Drosophila melanogaster: one gene and its partners. The protein of the gene in region 1 purifies or fractionates together with the protein of each later gene. This does not show direct contact. Each region holds a gene or a part of one and is shown in the gene's direction. Other genes may lie near its edges.

Region 1 (5,151 bases):
AAAATAATTATAAAAGGAATAAAAGGACATTACAGAAAATGAATGAAAGTAAACGGAAGGTTTGCAATAAAATGGGTTTTTTTTTATTTGAGTTTCTAAAAAGCAATAAGATTATGCATTTATAAAAGAAATCATTTTCTTTTGATTAGCAACTAAACATTTGAACAACATTTTGCATTAATGTATACTTCTAATGATAAGGTGTTGTTTATTCTAAATCGGATGAATCATATTTTGAAGACTTTGCGAATGACGCAGCAATGTGATCACCTTGAATAGACGAGACTCATATGTTCTCGAAGTCTGAATAATATAAAAATATATATTTCAAGATATACCAATACCAATTTCAAAACTTGAAACGCAAATCTAAAAAAAAGTATGCCATGATTATGGTTTCGGGTTTTCATAAACTATTTTCACCCGTTTCGGTTAGGTTTCTTTTCATATCTTTCGAGTAACCGGACAAAATCATTGAAAAATTTCTAAATTTTCAAAATTTGTTTATTTCGAATATAAAAGTTTTTTAACCATGGATAGGGGTACGTCTTCAAATCAGCCCGTAAGTATTTCATTTCTCTTTTGGTCTTTCAAATTTATCTCCGTGCTTTTCTGTAGATCCTGACCACCTGTGAGATGTATCCGCGCCGAAGGAACACGGAGTTCTACAGATCCCCGGAACCGAGAGTCTCCTGCCAAAACCAACGAGCGGAACATCCGGGGCAGATGCTCAACGTGACTCCCGACGAGAATCGGGAGGCCGTACGAAGACTTCCACGAATCCAGCCGCCAAATAATTTGGATAGTGTTTATCTACGCAATGGTTACTTTTCGTAAAATAAATTTTGTAGATTCTGTGTAAACTAAAATAAAGATATGTACGTATAGATATACTAATGAGATCATATGCATTTGCATAGAACGTCATAATTTCCTATCCTGTAATCATATATATTTTTATTTTGAAGGACATTTAATAGCAGTATAAAAACCGAGGACTGAAATGGGTCTGATTGATTGATATGTTCTCCATTGACCTGCGGATCATTCGATGGTCCATTGTTCTTTGTTGTCCGGGATTTGTTGTCGCAGCAACATGATGCTCCGTGTTTTGCAATTCGGAATATTTTTAGCATTGATAAAGAATCGATGCGGCGAACAAAGCAAACTTATCAAGGAAGCCGCCTGGTAACACCTCAATTGACAGGAGATCAGGTGGCCATGTAATCTTAATCACTATTTGAAATAGGTTAATCAAGGGGGCCCGTCAAACACCTGTTGTTGATATGTGTGAAAAAAGCACGATCATCAGTTTGAAATGGAAAAATGGGGAAAAATGAAAGTCATTACACGGCGACAAAATAGGTGTACCAATTCACGTTTTTAATGTGCTGTGGTATGAACTTTTTAAGTTGACAATGCAAGTGGGTTTGCTTATAAATAGTATCAATGTAATCGTGATATTTTGGGCATTCTTTTTTTTAGACTCTCCTATTTAGACAGCTGGAGAAGGTGTCTCTGGAGCGAGGAAATCTTAACTGGATCTTCCAGCTGCTTCACCTAACCACCAGTTTCTAGTGGCTCACTCTTGAATTTAGATAATGATGTAGGATTGATCTTGGTATGGCCGCCTAATCGTCGGTCTTATCACCTGCAATTATGGATGCAGCATGGGCGCTAAGATTGAGAGCTTCGCGGGTCGTTCAGATCCGGCGATGGCGCGGATCAAGGCTACGGATGCGACCGGTCATTGGCCGGATTGCAATCTGCGTATCGCCGATCCGGGGGTATAAATACTGGCTACCGATCATTGCAGCGTTACGATTCGAATCGACTCGAGAAGATGAAGTCGTTCACGGTGATTGCGTTAGCTGCAGTGGCATTGCTGGCTACTCTCGGCCAGGCCAAGCACCTGGACTCCAAGGTGGCGGACAAGGACTTTCTGATGAAACAGAAGTTCATGTACCAGATCCTGCAGCACATCTACCAGGACGATGTGTTCACCACGCCCTTCGGGGGCAGCTACGTGGAGTACAAGCCGTGGGAGCACGTGGCCGACTATGTGCACCCGGAGATGTTGGAGCACTTCTTCGAGCTGTGGCAACACCAACCCTTCACCGATGACATGGTGTGGTCGGTGATGTACGACAAGCACGAGGAGTATGTGGTGGGTCTGGTGCGTCTCTTCTACTTCGCCAAGAACTGGGAGACCTTCCAGCACGTCGTCTACTGGGCCCGCCAGCACGTAAACAAGCAGTTGTTCGTGTACGCCGTGACCATTGCCAGTTTGTTCCGTGATGATATGCAGGGAGTCGTCCTGCCGGCCCACTACGAGATCCACCCATGGAGCTACTTCGATAGCCAGGCACTGGAATGGGCTGAGCACTACAAAATGCACGGCTTCCATCATGTCAAGCAGATGGACAACATCTACAACGTGGTGATCCGTACGAACTATTCGAACGTGCACGGTTCCCTGAACTACGATCACGATTTGGCCTACTACCTGGAGGATGTTGGCTTCAATGCCTTCTACTACTACTTCAATCTGGACTATCCGTTCTGGACGAAGGGCGGCGAGGAGCATGTCCTTAACAAGGATCGTCGCGGTGAGCTCTACCTGTATGTCCACTGGCAATTGCTGGCCCGTTGGTACCTGGAGCGTCTGTCCCACGATCTCGGCGAGGTGCCCGCTTTCAACATGTATGTGCCAACCGAATCCGGCTATGCCAGTAACCTGCGCACCTACTACGGCGTACCCCAATGGCACCGGGAGAATCACCACAGCTTCTACCACGAGCACAACTACGAGCACATCGAGCATGTGGAGATGTACACGCAGCGTGTCATGGACTGGATCCACAAGAACGAGAAGTTCGATGTGGAGACCATCAATGTGCTGGGCAACATCATCCAGGGCAATGCGGACAGCGTGGACAAGAAGTTCTACGGCAGTCTTGACAAGCTGTACCGCTTCATTGTGAACGAGGGCCACCATTATGGCCATGGTGACGAGAGCTTCCCTGGCCTTTTCATGCACTACGACACCTCTATGCGCGATCCGATCTTCTACGAGGTATACAAGACCATTGTCAGCCACTACTGGCATCTGATGGAGACCTATCCGGAGTACCACAAGAAGGATTACGCCTTCGAGGGTGTCCACATCGATGCCGTCCACATGCCCGAAAGTCTGACCACCTACTTCGAGCACTTCGACTCGGACATCAGCAATGCCGTCAATGTGGAGCCCGCCGTTGAGGGATCCGCCGATCCGTTGTACACCTTCGGCAGGAACTCCCACTACAAGGGATCCAGCTATGTGATCAAGGCCCGCCAGCAGCGTCTCAACCACAAGCCCTTCGAGTTCACCCTGGACGTGACCTCGGACAAGGCTCAGGATGCCGTTGTGAAGGTCTTCATTGGACCCAAGTACGATGAGCACGGACACGAGATCCCACTGGAGCACAACTACCAGAACTTCTTCGAGCTGGAGCACTTCAAGGTGCATCTGGAGGCGGGCGTTAACCACATCAAGCGCGCCAGCGGTGACTTCTCCTTCTGGGTGAACGATCGCACCACCTACCTGGAGCTCTACCAGAAGCTGATGGACGCCACCAACAGTGACTACAAGTTCAAGCTGGATCAGTCGGAGGCCCATTGCGGCGTGCCCAACCGAATGATGCTGCCGCGCGGCAAGAAGGGCGGCCAGGTGTTCCAGTTCTTCTACATGGTCTACCCGTACCACCAGCCCGAGGTTGCCCAGTTCACTGGCTACGATCCGGTGGTCAGCTGCGGCGTGGGACACGGTTCCCGCTACGTGGACGCCCTGCCCTTCGGTTTCCCCTTCAACAGGCCGGTGAAGCATGACTACTACTTCGATGTCCACAACTTCAAGTTCGTCGACGTGAAGATCTTCCATCGCGACGAGCACACCAATGTGGTCTAGATCCTGGACCCAACGAATACGAACCCCAAAACGAACCAACGATATTGGATAGATTACATATGTTTTCCTTGTTATATCTTTGTCTGCATCCACTTACCCCATAGAGATCGTAATTTAACTCAATTTTTACCCAGCTTGTCAGTCCACCTTGTGACCATCGAACAATAAACGTATTCAACACAAGTCACTCTCTTTTCAATTTTTCAAAATATATTTTTGGTTTTCTAGTTATTTTCCTCTACTTACAGAATATATGTAAATAGAAGGAACAATAGAATAAAGGGCTTATTGATACTAGTTTTAAAGCCTACAGTTTTTAGCAGACGAATTTTCAAGTTAAAAATAGGCATTTTTATCTGGAATAAACACAATAGATTGTTAGATTTCTTAAATTACAATTTAATATTAAATGGTAAAATATGGTAACAAAAATATTTGCTTTATGCAAACCACGCTTGACATATTTCAGAATATGGTTTCAAATTGTATCATATTTTAAAAATATTAAAAGTTAAATTCAAAATATTTATAAATAATTAACCCTCACATTTTTTCTTTCACTGTATTAAGGTGCATTCCAGGGATGCGTACAACCACCTGCAGTTTGCCCCGTGAACGATAACTAGTTCGCTCATCTGCACCAATTGCTCGCATCCCTGGTCGCTAAAAAAACACACAAAGACTTGTTTTGTTGTTCTTCCCCAAAAATGAGCTCCTGGAAGGACAGTCTCACGAGCATTCCGGGCACGGTGGCGCAGTTGATTAACGAGAGCGCCAGCAACCTGTTACACGCCTCATCCACGCTGGGATCAACAGTTGGCCTTGGAGGCTCTGGCTCCACTGGATCTGGATCCGAGGCCGGAGGCTCCGAGGAAAGTGGTCCACAAGGTGCGGAGTACAGGGCGTTGCCCATTCCCGCGTCCTTGGTGCGCGAGCAATGGCGCCTAATCTTCACCAGCGATGCCAATATCCAGGATTTGCAGGCGGCCATCGCCCATTGCAGAGATCTCGTCCTGCTGAGCGAGGAACTCAGCGAGGAGCGTCGCTGGTTGGTGCGGCACCTGGTAGATTTGCGATACTCACTGCAGGAGCTGGAGGAGGCCCAGGAGCAGCATTCCCTATCGTCGGACATGGTAGTTATGAATGCCATACGTGCTGTGGTGGGTCATCATTTTGTGCCCCATCACCCGCATCATGGCAAA
Region 2 (6,295 bases), on another chromosome or scaffold:
TCCTCGGAGTCCTGGTGATGGAACGCACAGGCAATAACAATTTATATGGCCCGGACTGACATTTCAACATGGCCAGGACACGTACTGAAAGTTCGGAGCTGGCTAGGTCGCTCCACGAGCTGTATCATTCAAAAAGGTGCTGCAACCTTGGTGCGGACAGGAGGGCATTTAGAAATTAATGATAATTGACACAATAAGCGACAAGTTGAGCCCGAGTCCAGGGAGCAAATCCAGGGTAGGGGGACACTTCTGCCCTTACCATCCCATCTAGCCGCTGGGATAATATAATAGTCAATGACATTAGAAGCCAATAAATAAAGGCGAATGAAAACAAACAGCGTGCAGCCCAACAAACGTGCAGATGGGTACAAGATGGCCCTTGGGTACATATGCACAGGAAAAAATGATATATGTATCTATACACTTAAAATTACACACAATTTTACATAAAAGTCTTAAAAGATGAATATTAAACTTGTTTCATAACAAAAATTAGGGTATTATAGTCACTATATATATATAACTTCTATAGTTCTAGGAAACTGATATTGATGATTTCTATAGTCAGAATTAAACTGCATGACTTAAAACTATTCTACCTCTTACTCAAAAGGGTGTACTAGTCCCATTATGAAATTCGACGAATGTAGCATTTCCGACTTGATAATATTGTGAATATATTTATCATAATTTGAAATAAATCCCTAATCAGTCTATTACTCAGACTCTTTTAAGCAGGAATGAGGATATATGGTAGTCAGAGTCCTTTAGCATTCCTTCTTATGTATCTTAACTTTCAGCTGGCAATATAATTTAAGTATAACTGAGATAATTGCAATGTTAAAGTACAAAAACTTAAGTAGGCTTATATTTAATTTAGTATCATTGCTAGTGAGCACACAAAGCTCAATGTAAACAACATCAAGATGATGTTTCGAGAACGAAACCATGTTCCCCGATTTCTGGAGGCGTCAAACTCATTTAACGCCTAATTACTTTGGGGCCGAGACGCAATCGTGTGAGCAACCGCACACAAATTTCTAAATCCTAATTAGGCGGAAAAACTACCCATCCTGCCCGGAAAAGCAACCCAAATCCCCTGCCTACTTATTGCGCTTTGGCAATCAAAGCCGCTGACAGAAAGTATAAAATTTCAGAGCTCACGTCTGCCGCTCACTTTCGCATTTATGGAAATAATTAAAACTGATTTGCAGGTCGAAACAATTATTGCCTCCTCCTCAATTAGGTTGCGTTCTTCATGCACGACTTTGTCATTCAATTAACCATTGCACTGCCAATAAGTGAGTGGCACATAAAATGTGAGAAAATGCGAACGTGACCTAATAGCCGTGAGCCAGCTTGATGATTGTTATCCTTGGAAAAATCCACAGCAGAGGCAAATTTCCCTACTGCAGCAATTACCAGCATCTGAATAGTGGCTGTCTTAAAGAAATGTGAATGGTGTATACAAACGAGGTAAAAGTATTATGCGTAACCAGAGGAACAGGCAAACCTTCTGCATAAACCCCTCCAATAAAATCGGCTCGACATTGTGGCAGCTAGGATCCTGGAAAATAGAAGTTTTATCCTTTTTGCTCATCCTGGGCAGCTGGGCTGCTTTTAAAGGCTTATGTGCTCATATTTTGCATGCTCGGAGCTAGGGAAAAAGGGTGGGCAGAGAAGCCGGATGGATTTTGGAATTTGTGGCTAAGCATCGATTCGTTACCACTGGCCAATATTTCGGCTTTGTGCTGTGAAACAATGCGGCCTAGAAGTTTGGCAGGAGGTTTTGATTTTAGCGGGCAAAAGTCAAACGAATTCACTTCCGTATAAGTTTGGCCCGCTTTACTACGTTTCCCAGCTTCCAATTCCCCTACTTTCTGTGCCTGTGCTTTCTGATGCGAGCGAAACGGGAAATGAAAGTGCTGACAATTAAATTATGGCTATAAGATTGGGCCAAAATTTTGCCGCTTCAAGAAGGCAGTAGTTTCAGTTGCTTGCCAAGTTTAAATTTGGTCAAAGTTGGCCTTTGATCGTTTCAAACGTCAAGCAATACTCGATCGAAATCACAAAGTTATTGCAGCTCCCTTGGGAATGGGAAGAAATTTCCTTCGTCTGCCCAGTGTGAGTGGTAGAAGCTCATTCGTATATTCCATAGTCGCCTGTTCAAATCTTCCCAAGCGACGGAGCATTGTGCTCAGTTTTGGCCACATTATGACCGAGGTGAGTAAGGCTTTTAGGTCCTGCGGACTAAACATTAATATAAAATCCTCGTTGTGATTAATTTTATAAAATGCTTTTCACGATTAACTTTCCAGTCCCGTCCCTATGTATCAAATTTTAGTATGAATTATAAATAATAATGAATACATACATATATACGTGTTAAAACAACTTACAGATGAACTGCTGTGCATAATTTGTATGTTAACCAATCGTAATAGATCGCCCAAAAATAAGTAAAAATTTTAATAAATACCACAGAACTAGTATTTCTTGGTTGAAAACTTATCAAAATATATTTTTCTAGTTACAAGTAAGAATAGTGATTTATCAGCAATTCTCTTTGGGGCAAAGGGTTTTACAATTTCTTACACGCCACCTATCGGTGGTACAATCCTTACTTTACTTTCTACACTTATGCGGCAAATGTGCTGTAAAATGGATTTTATGTGAAGCATCTAATCAATGTCCCTATTTACTTTCACAACCTGTATAAATGATTTAAAAAAATATTTTAATCACTATCATCCGAAGAAATCTCCTGAGCTTCCTCCCCTGCTTCCGCTTTATCCTCCTTTTTCCCAAATTCCTCCTCCTCATCACTATCTGAGTTTTCCATTGGGTTTGTCTTGAGGCGAGCTATCAGCTCTTTGGCGGGATTGAAAATACCATTTGTTTGCTGGGAACAGATGATGCAGCGCTGTGACTTTTTGTACTGGGCCAAGGCGCACTTTTCACAGAAATAGTGCTTGCACCTGGAAGAAAGATAAATATGTTATTTATTCAGTAAATCCAGTTTAGAAATCGTTATCATCTTCATACTTTGTTACCACGGGATTGACAAAACTCTGTCGGCAGATGTGGCACTTGAAAGGCAGTGTTTCTTCATCGGAGTGAATCTCATACTTGGTATCATCGCCATCGGAGTCTACATCACCCGTTCGCTGATTTTCGTGATCCATTTCCAATTGCCAGCCCGCTTTGTAATCACTGCGATCGTGCAGAAACTTACAGCTGTCGCCAAAGCCGCAATATCCTGTTTCCTTGTAATCCTTGCATATATCCGGCTGATAATCCCACCTGACAGTGGCCCTAAGATGGGCAGGAGCCCTAATTGGGCCACTTCGTACCATTCCGGAGCTGGCATTCCCTGCCGCTGTATCCTGCTTCTTGTAGTACTGCGCATAGTTGTTAATTCCGCGATAGATCTTATCGTCCGCCTTGCCCTCCAGCTCTTCGTTGATTTTCAGAGCTCGCGCATGAATTGCCTGCGCATCGCGATCCAATTCTGTGTCCATTTCGTTAATCGATGTAGCTCCCTGATCTTGGGGTCCACTGGGCAGCGCCTCGCGTTTGGATTTGTACGCAATGCCCAGTTTATCATCGTCGGAGGCTGAGGATGAGCCATCATCACCAACTCCTCCCGCCTGTCTCTTTGCTTTGCTCATTGTCTTGGTGCTCTGGAAGTTGGGATTCGTGCGCTTTCGGCGGTTCTCGGCTCGCACCAGAGCACTGGCTTTGCCTTTGGTCTCTTCATCGCTGCTTTTTGCTGGAATATCAATAATATTTGCCCATTTACTTTGTTGGCGGTAAAATTAAGTTCCTACCAGATTCATCACTGCTGGTTTCCTTTTTGCGACGAATTCCAGCTCCCTTCTTGAGGTTCCGCTTCTTGAAGCCAAAGGACGAGGTGCTAGCCGCTTCTTCCGACATTCTCCGGCTTTTAAATTTATGTACTTATCTAGTAATTCACGTTAACAACAATTAACAATAGCAATTTCGCCAACTGGCGCTTCTTCTTCCCGGCTAGTGATGGTACTTGCGTAACAATCGTTATGGAGTTAGTATTTTTGTATGAAACGGGCACATTAAAATTCAATGTTTACTTATGAGGAATATATTCGTTTGTAATAATTGCAATTTTTACATATTTAATACATCATCAATATGTAATAATTAATAGATTTATATTAATTTAAAGAATTCTAGAAAATATTAACTCCTATGGGATCTACCCTTTTAATCATCGATACCAAGATGTTCTGAAAGCTTCCCACTTTTGGCGCTCTACACGCGGTCACACTGTTTTCTTATCGCTTGTTATTTTTAGATCGTCAAAAAACAAGTGCGTTTTTAAAAATTAATGGATTTCAGTTTTAGCTTACAAATTATTTACTCCGTTTCACCCCCAGAACATGACGCTCGAACAGCTGTCCGCAAATAAGTGCTTCGAGGGCGAGCAACGCGTGTATCGCCATCGCTCGGACACCTTGAAGTGCGACATGACCTTTGGCGTCTTCCTGCCGCCGGCCGCTTTGGAGGGTAAACCGTGTCCGGTGCTGTTCTTCCTCAGCGGACTGACCTGCACGCATGAGAACTTCATCCAGAAGAGCGGATTCCAGCAGCACGCCGCCCGCCACAACCTGATCGTCGTCAATCCGGACACTTCGCCCAGGGGCGTGGAAATTGCCGGCCAAGATGATGCATACGACTTTGGAAGCGGGGCTGGATTCTATGTGGATGCAAAGGAGGAGCCGTGGTCGAAGCACTACAAGATGTACAGCTATGTGACCCAGGAGCTGGTGGATGTGGTCAATGCCAATCTGCCCGTGGTTCCCGGTAAACGCGGTATATTCGGCCACAGTATGGGCGGCCACGGAGCCCTGATCTGCGCGCTTAAGAATCCCGGGCTGTACCAGTCGGTGTCCGCTTTTGCGCCGATTGCCAATCCCACCGAGTGCCCGTGGGGCAAGAAGGCCTTTGCCGGCTATCTGGGCTCCAATCCGGATGACTGGGCCCTGTGGGATGCCACGCATCTGGTGTCGCAGTACGAGAGCACTCCGCAGGAGCTCTTCATCGACCAAGGTGCAGCAGACAACTTCCTGGCCGGCAAGCAGCTGCTGCCGGAGAACCTGCTGGCTGCCGCAGATGGCAATGATCACATCCAGACCATCTTCAAGCAGCGCGAGGGATACGATCACAGCTACTTCTACATCGCCACGTTCGTCGCCGAACACATCGCCTACCATGCCGCCCTGCTCACAGCTTCCGCTTGATGATATTCCGCTTGTACATAATCGTTGGTTTCCACCGAAACCATAATTCAACGTAAATTTGGCAGTAAATAAACCAATTTCGACTGAGCTTCTAAAATGTATTCTTACATTCTTGACTTTAAACTTTGAACTTGGACTTTGAAAAACAAATATTTTTATTCATTCTAGGTGCCAATGTACAGAAGATTATACACAAATGGCGTGTACTTTGTTATTTCGGTTTTAAGTTCAGCAATTTCCTTTCACAAACAAAAACTTAAGTAATGGGTATTCAGCATTCGTCGAATTCCTAAGGACTTTTTCCCGGACTTGTGGTAAGGGTAAAAGCTCGCAACGTAGTAAAAGCTTTCCGGTTGTTGGTCCACGGCATGCTGGAAACTTTCCGCATCCTGGCATCCTGCGTACGATTCATTCATCAGTAGAAAAAACGCCGTCTGATGGAATAGATGTGCTAGTGACAGAGGGAACCGAACCGAACGGAGGTACCAAAAGGCGACATTCTCGACTCGTTTGGCGCCATATTTACTAGGACCAATCGGAGTCGCCAGCTCTGTATTTGCGTGACTGCGTGTGTGCGCGAGATAGTCCTGTTTTTTGGACCCCCCTTTGTTTGTGTAACTTCGCGCGCTTTTGTGTTTTATATACCAACGGGTCGGAAAATCGGGTACCAAAAAAAGGGATTTGAAAAGGCGTGAGATTTGCGGCCAGCTGCTGGACGACTGCCAGCGGACTGAAATCTTAATTAGCCATTTAATGGCAGTTGGCACACAACAAAGCCCCATGGTAAGCCCTTAGCCATATGGCCCATGTAAATCAATTTCAAACCGAGCTCAGATCTTGACATTCTGTCAGCGAGTCAGCTAGTCAGGTGTGGTATTGGTAGCACCTTCCCCAATTTTTATGTGCAACTGTACGACATGTTTTATGGCCGACGTTTTACTGCATGCTGGCATTTTTACACTTCCATCAGCACTCCATTTTTCACAGTTCAGAGTCAAGTTCACGCTCCGTATCCC
Region 3 (4,423 bases), on another chromosome or scaffold:
AGCCAGCACCAAGAGTGCCACGCCCAACAGCCACCAGAACGTATCCGCCTCGGCGCCACTATCCAAATTCTCCATCTTACCCACCAAATCCGGACTGGAGAAATATGTGCAGACGAAAATGCCCACGCTGATCATGAGCACCGATATGTACTGACTCAACCGGTAACTCCTCTTCAGGATCAACGTGCACAGGCACATGTTGGAGATCAGCGAACCGCCGCGTATGATCATGTGCAGTGTCATTGGAACTTTGAACTTGAACACGTAGTTGTTGCATACGCTGGTCAGGAAAAACATGGCCACGAGGAGCGCATAGTCGCGCAGGCTGATCACTCTCTGGGCCAGGCCAAACTTCGAGGTGAAGATGAAGCCCTCGAGGGCAATAAATGCAAACTGGGCGCCAGTTATAAGGTTTCCAGCGCCGGGATCCAGTTTAACCAGGAGCTCCAAGAAGACGACGCCACTGCAGCAGCCCAAGAAAACGCCGCAGATGGCCGAAATAGCGCGGATGGATAAATTCATGAACTCGCGCAACGAAAGTAGACGATTCCCACCAACTTTAACCTACGATCTGGGCCATGACGAGCTTTTAAGCCAACTTACTTTCTCTTCGGCCATACAAAACGTAAACAAATGCAACAGGTGGTTATCGATAAAGTTCGGTTCGGGCACAGCTGATGTTGGTCTATCGAAAGTGGTTGAAATTCAAATATTCCAAGCGAAAAAGAAAAAATTTATGATTTTAAGAGAAGAATATTTTATTTAATGTACATTACATTCAAAACCAAACTTAAATATGTTGCCTAATCACATTCGAAATATTCGCACCAACAGTCTTTTACAACAATTACAAAATACAATGATGACAATGCTAAGAAAGAAATTACAGATTAGCAAATTAATGGTATATTACTTATTTTTCCTTTTCCAGCAAGGCAATAATTTTGTTTAACTTTTCCGTCTGCTGGGCCTCGAAGTTGTCCAGTCTCTTAGACACTAACAGCGTCAGCTTCTCAAATCTCATGTCGATGTGCTCCTTGAGGATTGCAACATCGGTGGAAGGCGGTGCAGTCTCTTGGGTTTGGTCCTTCGCCTGCGGGGAATAGCCCTTCATCAGGCTCATGAACTGCTCGAACTTTTCGGCCTGCTCCTCCTTCTTCAAGGGACTCGTGCCACCCCTTTGCAGCAGCTCTTGGATTCGCTGCGCATCCATTGGCCTGGGCAACTGGGTGGTTATGCCGTTGGGATTCGGCGCCACCTGGAGCAGGGCTCCGTAAACGCAGATCTCGCTGGCCGAGGTGAGCATCTTCAGGTTTATGTCATTTATCCCGGATCGGTCGATTTCCATGTCATAGCGATAGGGTCGCACCGCAACCTCTGGGTCCTCATCGTCGACGCAAGTGCCGTAGATGGTCTCGCAGTACTCCTGCAAGGGTCCAATGAACAGCTCCACCTTGGGAGCGCTGCAAATCAGGGTGAGCGCGGCGATTTTGAAGCGGTTCGGGATCTGGAAGCGCAGCTCACAAGGCGGCGGCGGATCCGCCGACTGCATGGAAAACAGCACGGCGCGATTCTCGTCGATCACGTCGTCCAAGTCGGGCCTGCGGACAAAGGAGGTTTCAAAATTACTTGATAAAAACCAGTTTCGGGGCGTGGAATCCTTTGTCTCACTTCACAAAGACGTCTTCGTCGGACAAGCGGGTGGCCACCAGTTGGTCCAGCCCGTTGCCCGACAGCTGGGGCCAAGTGCAGCGCGCGGTGACCTTTTCGCACATGCTTTAAGTGACAAAAAGTTGGAATTTATGGGAGCAAAATTTAAAAACAGCCAAATTTAAAAACCAAAACACGAATATAGTGATGACAAACGCGAGCGATAACATCTGCGCGGGGGATGCCAACCTGTTGCACAGCGCAAACTAATTGGACATTTGAAGGTAGCTTGACGCGCTATTCCAATAAGACCATACTCCGGAGTCCAATCAGAGAAGGCACCGCATCTGCGCACTACGTTTTTCCAACAGAACGGCAATATCGCGGCCTGACAGCTGCGACCTTGGACGGCTCCCTTGTAGGTCAAACTTCAGCAGAATTCCCACATATTGCAGTCGCAGCAAGGCGGCAGCTTAAGAACGAGTACACAATTATCCGCAGAGTGATCAACGCAGCTAAAATGGGCGGCAAGTACAAGATCGTGATGGTGCGCCACGGCGAGTCCGAGTGGAACCAGAAGAATCAGTTCTGCGGCTGGTACGACGCCAACCTCAGCGAAAAGGGTGAGTGATTACATCAATTTGAAATTTAAACCTCATATGTGGGATTAAAAATCTGATGTACATCTAGTTTCCAATCGATGATCCTTTGCTTTGATCAGTTTCACAATAGTATTCCTTTTCATTTACCCAAATTAATCTTCATTGACCTAGTGCAACATTATCTCATTCAAACTTTTCTGTGATAAAAATAGGTCTCTACAAACAAAAGCTTTCCAGTGCAATTTTCAGAAGCATCAAAATTCTAGTTTGTTACACTTTAAAGTCAAAAATTTGCCATCTCATATGTTTCTAAAGTTCAGATTATGCTTATGAGCATAATTTGATAGGTTATCGCCTTTTTTTAACCCTAGTAATCAAATTAAATTAAACGCATGCCTTTCAATTAGATTAAATTGGCTTACGTTCGTTACCCAACACGGCGTATACTTAATGTTCGCTAAACATTTGCCCAAACAGGTCAGGAGGAGGCCCTAGCCGCCGGCAAGGCCGTCAAGGATGCCGGCCTGGAGTTCGATGTGGCCCACACCTCGGTGCTGACCCGCGCCCAGGTGACGCTGGCCAGCATCCTGAAGGCCAGTGGCCACAAGGAGATCCCCATCCAGAAGACTTGGCGCCTGAACGAGCGCCACTACGGTGGACTCACTGGCCTGAACAAGGCCGAGACCGCCGCCAAGTACGGCGAGGCCCAGGTGCAGATCTGGCGTCGCAGCTTCGACACCCCGCCACCACCGATGGAGCCGGGCCATCCGTACTACGAGAACATCGTCAAGGATCCCCGCTACGCCGAGGGTCCCAAGCCCGAGGAGTTCCCCCAGTTCGAGTCCCTCAAGCTGACCATCGAACGCACACTGCCCTACTGGAACGACGTCATCATTCCCCAGATGAAGGAGGGCAAGCGCATCCTGATCGCTGCCCACGGCAACAGCCTCCGTGGCATCGTCAAGCATTTAGACAGTGAGCATGGGAGACATAACATATATCATATCATCTTTTTACCATATCCTTGTCCAATCCAGACCTTTCTGAGGACGCCATCATGGCCCTAAATCTGCCCACGGGCATTCCGTTCGTCTACGAGCTGGACGAGAACTTCAAGCCGGTGGTGTCCATGCAGTTCCTCGGCGACGAGGAGACCGTGAAGAAGGCCATCGAGGCTGTGGCCGCCCAGGGCAAGGCCAAGTAAGCACGCAGGCCACACCTCATGAGAATCCACTCAAATACGGCACAAGTCAGAGCATTCTGATTACGCTTCTGTTCAAGATGTAGCCAATCCCATTCGTTGTTGTTGTTCGCGTAGCAGTAATTGGTTCATCCCCACTACAGTTAATAAATAATTTATTATTACACTCAAGAGGACAGGCGGAGGAGGCTTCATTTATTGTCCGGCTCACTTCTTCTTATTCTTCTTGCCGTCCTTGGCCAATTCCAGGCCCAGGATGCACTTGGGCGGCACCTTGTACGTTTCCGTGAGCAGCGTGTGCACAAATCGCACCTGGTTGCCCTGGATTTGCAGCTGCTCGTGCTTTTGGTGCGGCAGTTTCACCACACTGGTGCTGGCGGCGGCTCCCTGCTTGCACAGCTTGATGAACTCGGCCAGGATGATGCCGTACGCCTCGATGTTGCTGACCAGCGTCACCTTCTTGTTGCCCGATCGCGTGGCCAGGGACATCTGGATGAGGGGCTTCCCGCTCGTATCTTTGCCGCTGCACATCTGGTAGGAGTGCTCCATCTTGCTGGTGATGAGGGAGCACATCTCGCTTAGCGAAACCTCTCTGTTACCATACAGCTCGATCAGAGTGTCGTCGGGGCGCACCAGCTTGGTCAGCGGATGGAGGAGACCATGTTTGCTCACGTACTCCCGCACAATCTTCTTGATCTGACCCGCCGGGATTCCCTCGCCGCGCTTGTAATTCAGCTTGGTGAAGAAGGCCGCCGTAACATCGGTCACTATGTACATCTCCTTCAGCTCGGAGTGGAACAGGGGCGTCTCGGACGCCGCTCCATTAGCTTCGCTTGCCTTGACATCGGTTATAAAGTTCACCACTTCGGGGTGCTCCAGGTCCACAGATGTGATTTTATCCACTCCCTTGCTCTCCTCCCGCACCACAATGAATCCTTGGTCCACCATCTCGGCCAGAAAGTTGGAGAGC
Region 4 (6,131 bases), on another chromosome or scaffold:
GCAGCAGCTTCCCATCCGCCGATGTCTTCGGCACAATTTCCCAGAAGATGAGCAGCAGCTTCTTGATCGTGTGGTTCTGCACCGGCAGGACGAAGCGTATGATGGTCATGATCAGGCCCGGATACCGCTCCCCATTCAGCAGCAACTTGATTACCCGCTTCAGCGTCTCGATCTTCACGTTCGTGTCGCCCTTTTCGAGATCGCGCTTCAGTTGCATCTCGTTGGTCACCTCCAGGTCCGGCGAGTTGATTATCGTGTAGCACGGCACTTGCGACGTCATCGTGGCTGCCTATTCCGTTCGCCTGTTTATCCCGATAATGCCAATTGACCAACTTATTTCCTAATTTCCAAATTCAGTTTTTTTTTGGTCTTTCCGACGTGTCACAATGCTAACAGGGTGTGACCGTGCGCGGCGCCGTGCGGAAATGCCACGCGAGTGCTGCCAGGGCTGCGCAGTGCTCTAGCGGGGACGCACACCGCCGGCCAGCAACCGCTTCGGCTAACAGCGGGCTGTTGAGCGCACTTGGCGCGCTTTTCAAACGTTTTGTTATTTGATTGTTATTTATCATTCTTATCATTTTTTAGTTCAACAAGTTTAACATTAGAATGTACAAAAAGCAGATGCACTTAAGCTCCACAAATGTATAGCTGGAAATTTACTTGCATTGCAGTGCTTGCATCTACAGAGCGAGTGCTGTTAAGTTACAGTGTCTTTTTCGCGCCATAACTGCAGTTTGAAATGCTATGTAACTATGTAAATGCATGCCAAAAATGTAAAAAATGAAAAGTGTTATAAACAAATTATTCTACATTAAGTTAAAGCTAATGAATTTTTCATTTCATATATAACACATTTAACAAAATATTATTTTGTTATATACTTTTATTTAAAATAGTAAGTATCACTGTTTCAAAAATGCCATTCGATTTGCAATTTGTACTTAAAATAAGTGAGTAGCAGTGCTTCATTTTTATCGCATACAATTTCCCTGATGAATGCCTTTTCCGTGCGGTTAAATAATGCAACGAAGCTTTTGCGCTGACAAACACACTTTGTGCTGGGCGTAGCTCCATTACCTCCCTTCTATTACCTGGCTGCAGATAGCCTCCGTGCCAGAGGACTGCTGATAAGAGGCCACCTCGGACTACTCGGAAAAATCCCCAACCCATTGCGATCCGGGTAAATTCCCGACCGCTCCGGGGCTCTTGACCTTGCCCAGTGCGAAGTGTGTGTGTTTGCATCTGCGGCACTGCCAAGCAATCTAATTCGGTTTCTGGTTTCGATTCCACTAGAAAGATCCCCGCCCACGCCCACGTCCCAAGTCCCACGGCATTTGCCATTGTGATCTCGTTTTGCACTTCATCATTCAATTGCCGCCCCCGCGACTCATTGCCCAGCCACGCCCCCTCCCTCAAAGGAGGAGGCACGGCCTGCATTTTAAGCAGTTCGTCAATTCTCTGCTGGATGTGGACAGTTCTCCACAGCTCCTCTTCGTTGCTCTTACTGCAACGAGCCGGTGCGGGTGACTAGCTAGGTGATCTGATCCCATCGTGGAACAGGTTCTGTGCCCGGCCTGAATAAACAAATGCCCTGATAGCGGGGCGAAATTGAAGTATATAAAACTAGAGACGAGTGCGAAAGCGAATGTGAGTGATATGCGAATAGCGCATACTCTCACTTTTTGCAGAAGCTTAAATGAGCTCCAAGTTTATCCACTCGAAGTTTATCCCCTGCATTTTTAGGAATATAAAACAATTTCGCATAACATATAAATCTAGATTTTGCTTGCAAATTATCTAAACGCAGTGCAATCATTTAAATTATCATAATAAATACTTGCACTTTTCAAATTGGCCATCTCAAGATCGTAGTTATGCGTCCAATTAAAAATTCAAAAAATATCCCCTCGGAGTGTATAAATAAAAGGCAATTACTCTTAATTTGTTTACTTCCAAGAAGAGTGAATTTAAAGTAGCCGAATCATTAGATGAATGCAAATGCAAATGAATGATGAAAAATGGGCTGGCAAAAACAGAACTAAAATAAGTGACTAAAGTACGTATGCCCCTGGGACTAAGGGCTCGCATGATTAACATCCATGGATTGGGAATGGATGGGGATGGGGTGGTGGCTGGCTCCTCGTCGCTCCCACCGTGGTGACTCAACCGGTTGCTGCAACTACAAGCGACTAGAGAAGATTTTGCCCGTTTATTTGGCAGGGTAGTGAGTTCTTAGAAATTGAAGGCACCAGTGCATTTATATAACTCAATAGGCACAAATAACCAAGTGCCAGTCGGTGCGGTGGCATCAAATTATTCAGGTATATAGTATATGGCTCGATCGATTAGGGGATCAAGTGCCAAGACAATTAAGTGAAGAGCAGCCAGGCCGTTTCTATCTCGATTTTAGCTGTATGTCAGCAACTACGCTTTTTGACAATCGCAATCAAATAGTTAAATAGGCTATTTTTAAAACCTATTCACTGCAATTTTTCCAGCTTAAATGTTCGTAAAGAATGTGCTTAAGAAATTAGTGTGTGTGCCTAAATAAATTCTGTCAAGAGAAAGCGCTGGCTCAATGAATCAATGGCTCAATGGCTCATTGTTTGATTATTGCCAAGATCCAAAACTAATTACCAAACACACAAATGCTGCAGGCTAAATTCTGATTTTGATCGATTATATTGTCGATTATATATACTATATATTGTCTCGAAGACAAGCAAAAAGTCGAACTTAAGGTAGATCATGGATTGAGTAGCATACTAATTGATTTGCGAAAATCGCATTTAATGGCATAGCCATATATCAGTGTCGCAAACTCGTTTGCCGGAGTATATAGGCCTGGATTGCCGCCCACTCACGCCTTTCCTCGGGGAAAAACCGGTCGCCTGGACTGTCTTTCTTTCTTTATTGTTATGATTGCTATTATTATTATTATTACTATTATTATTGGTATTGGTATTGGTATTATTGTGCCTCCTTGTCGCCGGGCAAATAGAAGCGAAAGAGAACAAATACGAGTGCAAAAAAAAAGAGCACGAAAGCCGGGGAAAGAAGCAGCACATCTGGGTGGCTATAAAAGCCACCAGCCGGCTCCGGATTCTCCACAGTCGAGCTTCAACTGTTTCTCAGATGATGTCGCCGCATAAGACCCACACCTGGCTGCCACTGGCGGTGGCCGCCCTCCTGCTGATCCTTGGACCGCAGTCCTCCCTGGCGGAGGAACCCATTTGTATGTGCATCCCGGAGTCACTAGTTGAATGCATCTAACCAGTTGAATCCATTTCATACGAACCCAAAACGGCAGATCGCCTGTGTGTGCCGCAAATCTATTTGGCCGAGTGCCAGCAGCTGCTGGCCGATCCCTCGGAGGCGGGCATCCGCATGGAGTGCGTGGCTGGACGGGATCGAGTGGACTGCCTGGAGCTGATCGAGCAGCGCAAGGCCGATGTGCTGGCCACCGAGCCGGAGGACATGTACATCGCCTATCATCGCAAGAACGAGGACTATCGCGTGATCTCTGAGATCCGAACGCAGCAGGACAAGGATGGTAAGTGGTGCAAATGCTCGTGGGAGCAAAATGCGAAATGCTTTCGAATGAAATTAAAGGGTATTTAAAATGTATAGTACTGACTAATGACTAATGGCCCTTTGTTGTTAATTTGCGATTCGAAGCAAAAGGCTCGAAGGACCAAAATAGTTACTAGTTCCCTTTTTTTTTACTCATAAATCTCCTACTGGTTTCATTTCTCGACAGCCGCCTTCCGTTACGAGGGCATTATCCTGGTGAAGAAGGACTCCCCCATTCGCACCCTGCAGCAGCTGCGTGGCGCCAAGTCCTGCCACACTGGCTTCGGCCGCAACGTCGGCTACAAGATCCCCATCACCAAGCTGAAGAACACGCACGTCCTGAAGGTGTCCGCCGATCCGCAGATCTCCGCTACGGAGCGCGAACTGAAGTCGCTGTCCGAGTTCTTCACGCAGTCGTGCCTGGTGGGCACCTACTCCACGCATCCGGAAACGGATCGCCTGCTGAAGAAGAAGTACGCCAATCTGTGCGCTCTGTGCGAGAAGCCGGAGCAGTGCAACTATCCGGACAAGTTCAGTGGCTATGATGGCGCCATACGCTGCCTGGACAAGGGTCAGGGCGAGGTGGCCTTCTCCAAGGTGCAGTACATCAAAAAGTACTTTGGTCTGCCGGGTGCCGGCCCAGATGCGCCGCCAGCGGAGGGCAATCCGGAGAATTTCGAATATCTGTGCGAGGATGGCACCCGGCGCCCGGTCACCGGACCCGCCTGCTCCTGGGCCCAGCGCCCCTGGAGCGGCTACATCTCCAACGAGCAGGCCGTTCACAACTCGGAGCAGCTGCACCAATTGCAGTCGCGTCTGGAGCGCTTCTTCGCCAATGGACTGCAGGCGCAGAACAAGGACGCCGCCGCCCATCTGCTCATCCAGCCGAATGCCGTGTACCACAGCAAGGATGCTGCCATCGATCCCAAGGTCTATTTGGAGCGTGCCGGCTACAAGGATGTGATCGAGCGTGATGGCAGTGCCATCAGGAAGATCCGCTTGTGCGCCCAGAACGACGACGAGTTCGCCAAATGCCAGGCGCTGCACCAGGCTGCCTACGCCCGCGACGCTCGTCCGGAACTCGAGTGCGTTCAGTCCACCGATTGTGTGGTGGCTCTGACCAAGAAGGAGGCGGATTTGACCATTGTTCGCGCAACTGGCTACGCGGATGCCCGTAGCAACCAGCTGCAGCCAATCGTCTACGAGCAGAGGGCTCAGGATGATGTCCTTGTGGCGGTCGCAGCACCCGGCGTTACACGGGAGGCTCTCCAGAAGGCCAGCATGTAAGTGGAATCCCTCGATCATCCGTAGCACATTAGCTACATATACTATCAATATTCCGCAGCAAATTCAATGAGAATTGCGAACGATCCCGTGCTGCTGCCGCCTTGTTGAACAAGCGACGTGGCCTGGACGCTTGTCGTGTCTCATCCAGCGACGATGGAGAGGTGCAGATCGTGCCCGCCTCCGAGCTGGAGAAGCACAAGGACGCGCAGCTGGTGTGCCCCAGTCTGGAGCGGCGACCGGTCACCGACTTCCGTGACTGCAACGTGGACGTACAGCTGCCCCGTGCCATCTTCATCCGATCGGACACCACCAGCGTGGAGCAGGAGACAGTGAAGCATCTGTTCTCGCTGATCTCGGACAAGTTTGGTGCCCGCGGCAAGCTGGTGGATGTTTTCGCTCTGTTCGGCGAATTCCAGAAGGGCAAGAAGAATGTGTATTTCAACGTAAGTTATCCTCTTTCCTTATTTAAGCTTCGGCGTTTAAAAAGAAAACAACTTTCTCTGCAGGACAAAGCCGTTCAGCTCACCACGGAGCTCAAAAACGAAATCCAGAACGAGCAGATCTACACAGATCTCCAGTGCAATGCTAACAAGATTGCCAAGCAGTGATCACATTTTATACTACTAGATCCCACTATCTGCATCAATAAAATTTAATTCGAATATAAACAGATATCACGTCTTAATGCCTACTTAAGGGAAAATCGAAAAAAAAAGTTTAGACCTATTAAATATGGCTAACTAGTTACCAAATACAATGCTACAAAGTTTCCCAGCCAATTGGCTTTTCACACCACTCATGAATTATTCAAAACGAATTGTTCTCATTCAATTACAGCAATTTATGGTTTTCATTTTTAAAAAAAAAAGACACATTATATGTATGGAACCAGCTAATTTATAATGTATAATGTATATATATATATATCGGTTATGGTATATAGTTTCACATATCTGTGCTTGGGTAAAATCGCCAGGGAAAATCGTACGTTTCATAATTGCTTCGACCACGGTGTGGATTTCGGGTAAGGGTTTGCAAGGCTAATGGGGGCATTGGGGAAGTTTGAGAATAAAATTCGTTGATCCAAACATTCCATTCCAGAAGGGCGGCTGTGGCATCATCTAGTCTTCGGAGGCATCGCGCACAGCCTCTGTGGAAGACTCGGCACCACTGGGTGTCTCCTCCTCCTCGGAATAGTCCTCGTCATGGGTGTGGGTCACCACGGTGGGCGTCGACGGACGAGTGTGCACAATGGAGCTCTGGAACAAGAA

Evidence for each region.
Region 2: the proteins of Lsp2 (region 1) and CG4390 purify together in Drosophila melanogaster (affinity purification with mass spectrometry, with the first as the bait; one large-scale study listed by BioGRID). This does not show direct contact.
Region 3: the proteins of Lsp2 (region 1) and Pglym78 purify together in Drosophila melanogaster (affinity purification with mass spectrometry, with the first as the bait; one large-scale study listed by BioGRID). This does not show direct contact.
Region 4: the proteins of Lsp2 (region 1) and Tsf1 purify together in Drosophila melanogaster (affinity purification with mass spectrometry, with the first as the bait; one large-scale study listed by BioGRID). This does not show direct contact.

The regions. Positions count from the first base shown.
Region 1 is NT_037436.4:12,127,567-12,132,717, forward strand, and holds Lsp2 (larval serum protein 2), read left to right. Parts: upstream 1-1,826; 5' UTR 1,827-1,843; coding exon 1,844-3,949; 3' UTR 3,950-4,303; downstream 4,304-5,151. Other genes in the region: CG34241 (uncharacterized protein), read left to right, coding at 533-562, 619-837; DEF8 (differentially expressed in FDCP 8 homolog), read left to right, coding at 4,657-5,151. UniProt on the Drosophila melanogaster protein: Larval storage protein (LSP) which may serve as a store of amino acids for synthesis of adult proteins.
Region 2 is NT_033777.3:20,055,495-20,061,789, reverse strand, and holds CG4390 (uncharacterized protein), read left to right. Parts: upstream 1-2,039; 5' UTR 2,040-2,094; coding exon 2,095-2,223; intron 2,224-2,498; exon of another isoform or gene 2,499-2,737; coding exon of another isoform or gene 2,738-2,978; intron 2,979-3,045; coding exon of another isoform or gene 3,046-3,772; intron 3,773-3,830; coding exon of another isoform or gene 3,831-3,936; exon of another isoform or gene 3,937-4,042; intron 4,043-4,299; exon of another isoform or gene 4,300-4,348; intron 4,349-4,415; coding exon 4,416-5,279; 3' UTR 5,280-5,372; downstream 5,373-6,295. Other genes in the region: mdlc (midlife crisis), read right to left, coding at 2,738-2,978, 3,046-3,772, 3,831-3,936.
Region 3 is NT_033777.3:29,146,280-29,150,702, forward strand, and holds Pglym78 (phosphoglyceromutase 78), read left to right. Parts: upstream 1-1,968; 5' UTR 1,969-2,170; coding exon 2,171-2,273; intron 2,274-2,729; coding exon 2,730-3,227; intron 3,228-3,289; coding exon 3,290-3,456; 3' UTR 3,457-3,622; downstream 3,623-4,423. Other genes in the region: CG14511 (uncharacterized protein), read right to left, coding at 1-522; CG11882 (uncharacterized protein), read right to left, coding at 914-1,601, 1,672-1,775; eIF2D (eukaryotic translation initiation factor 2D), read right to left, coding at 3,661-4,423.
Region 4 is NC_004354.4:18,384,814-18,390,944, forward strand, and holds Tsf1 (transferrin 1), read left to right. Parts: upstream 1-2,270; 5' UTR 2,271-3,135; coding exon 3,136-3,235; intron 3,236-3,310; coding exon 3,311-3,553; intron 3,554-3,760; coding exon 3,761-4,856; intron 4,857-4,918; coding exon 4,919-5,303; intron 5,304-5,366; coding exon 5,367-5,468; 3' UTR 5,469-5,531; downstream 5,532-6,131. Other genes in the region: betaCOP (coat protein (coatomer) beta), read right to left, coding at 1-280; Nt5b (5' nucleotidase B), read right to left, coding at 5,982-6,119.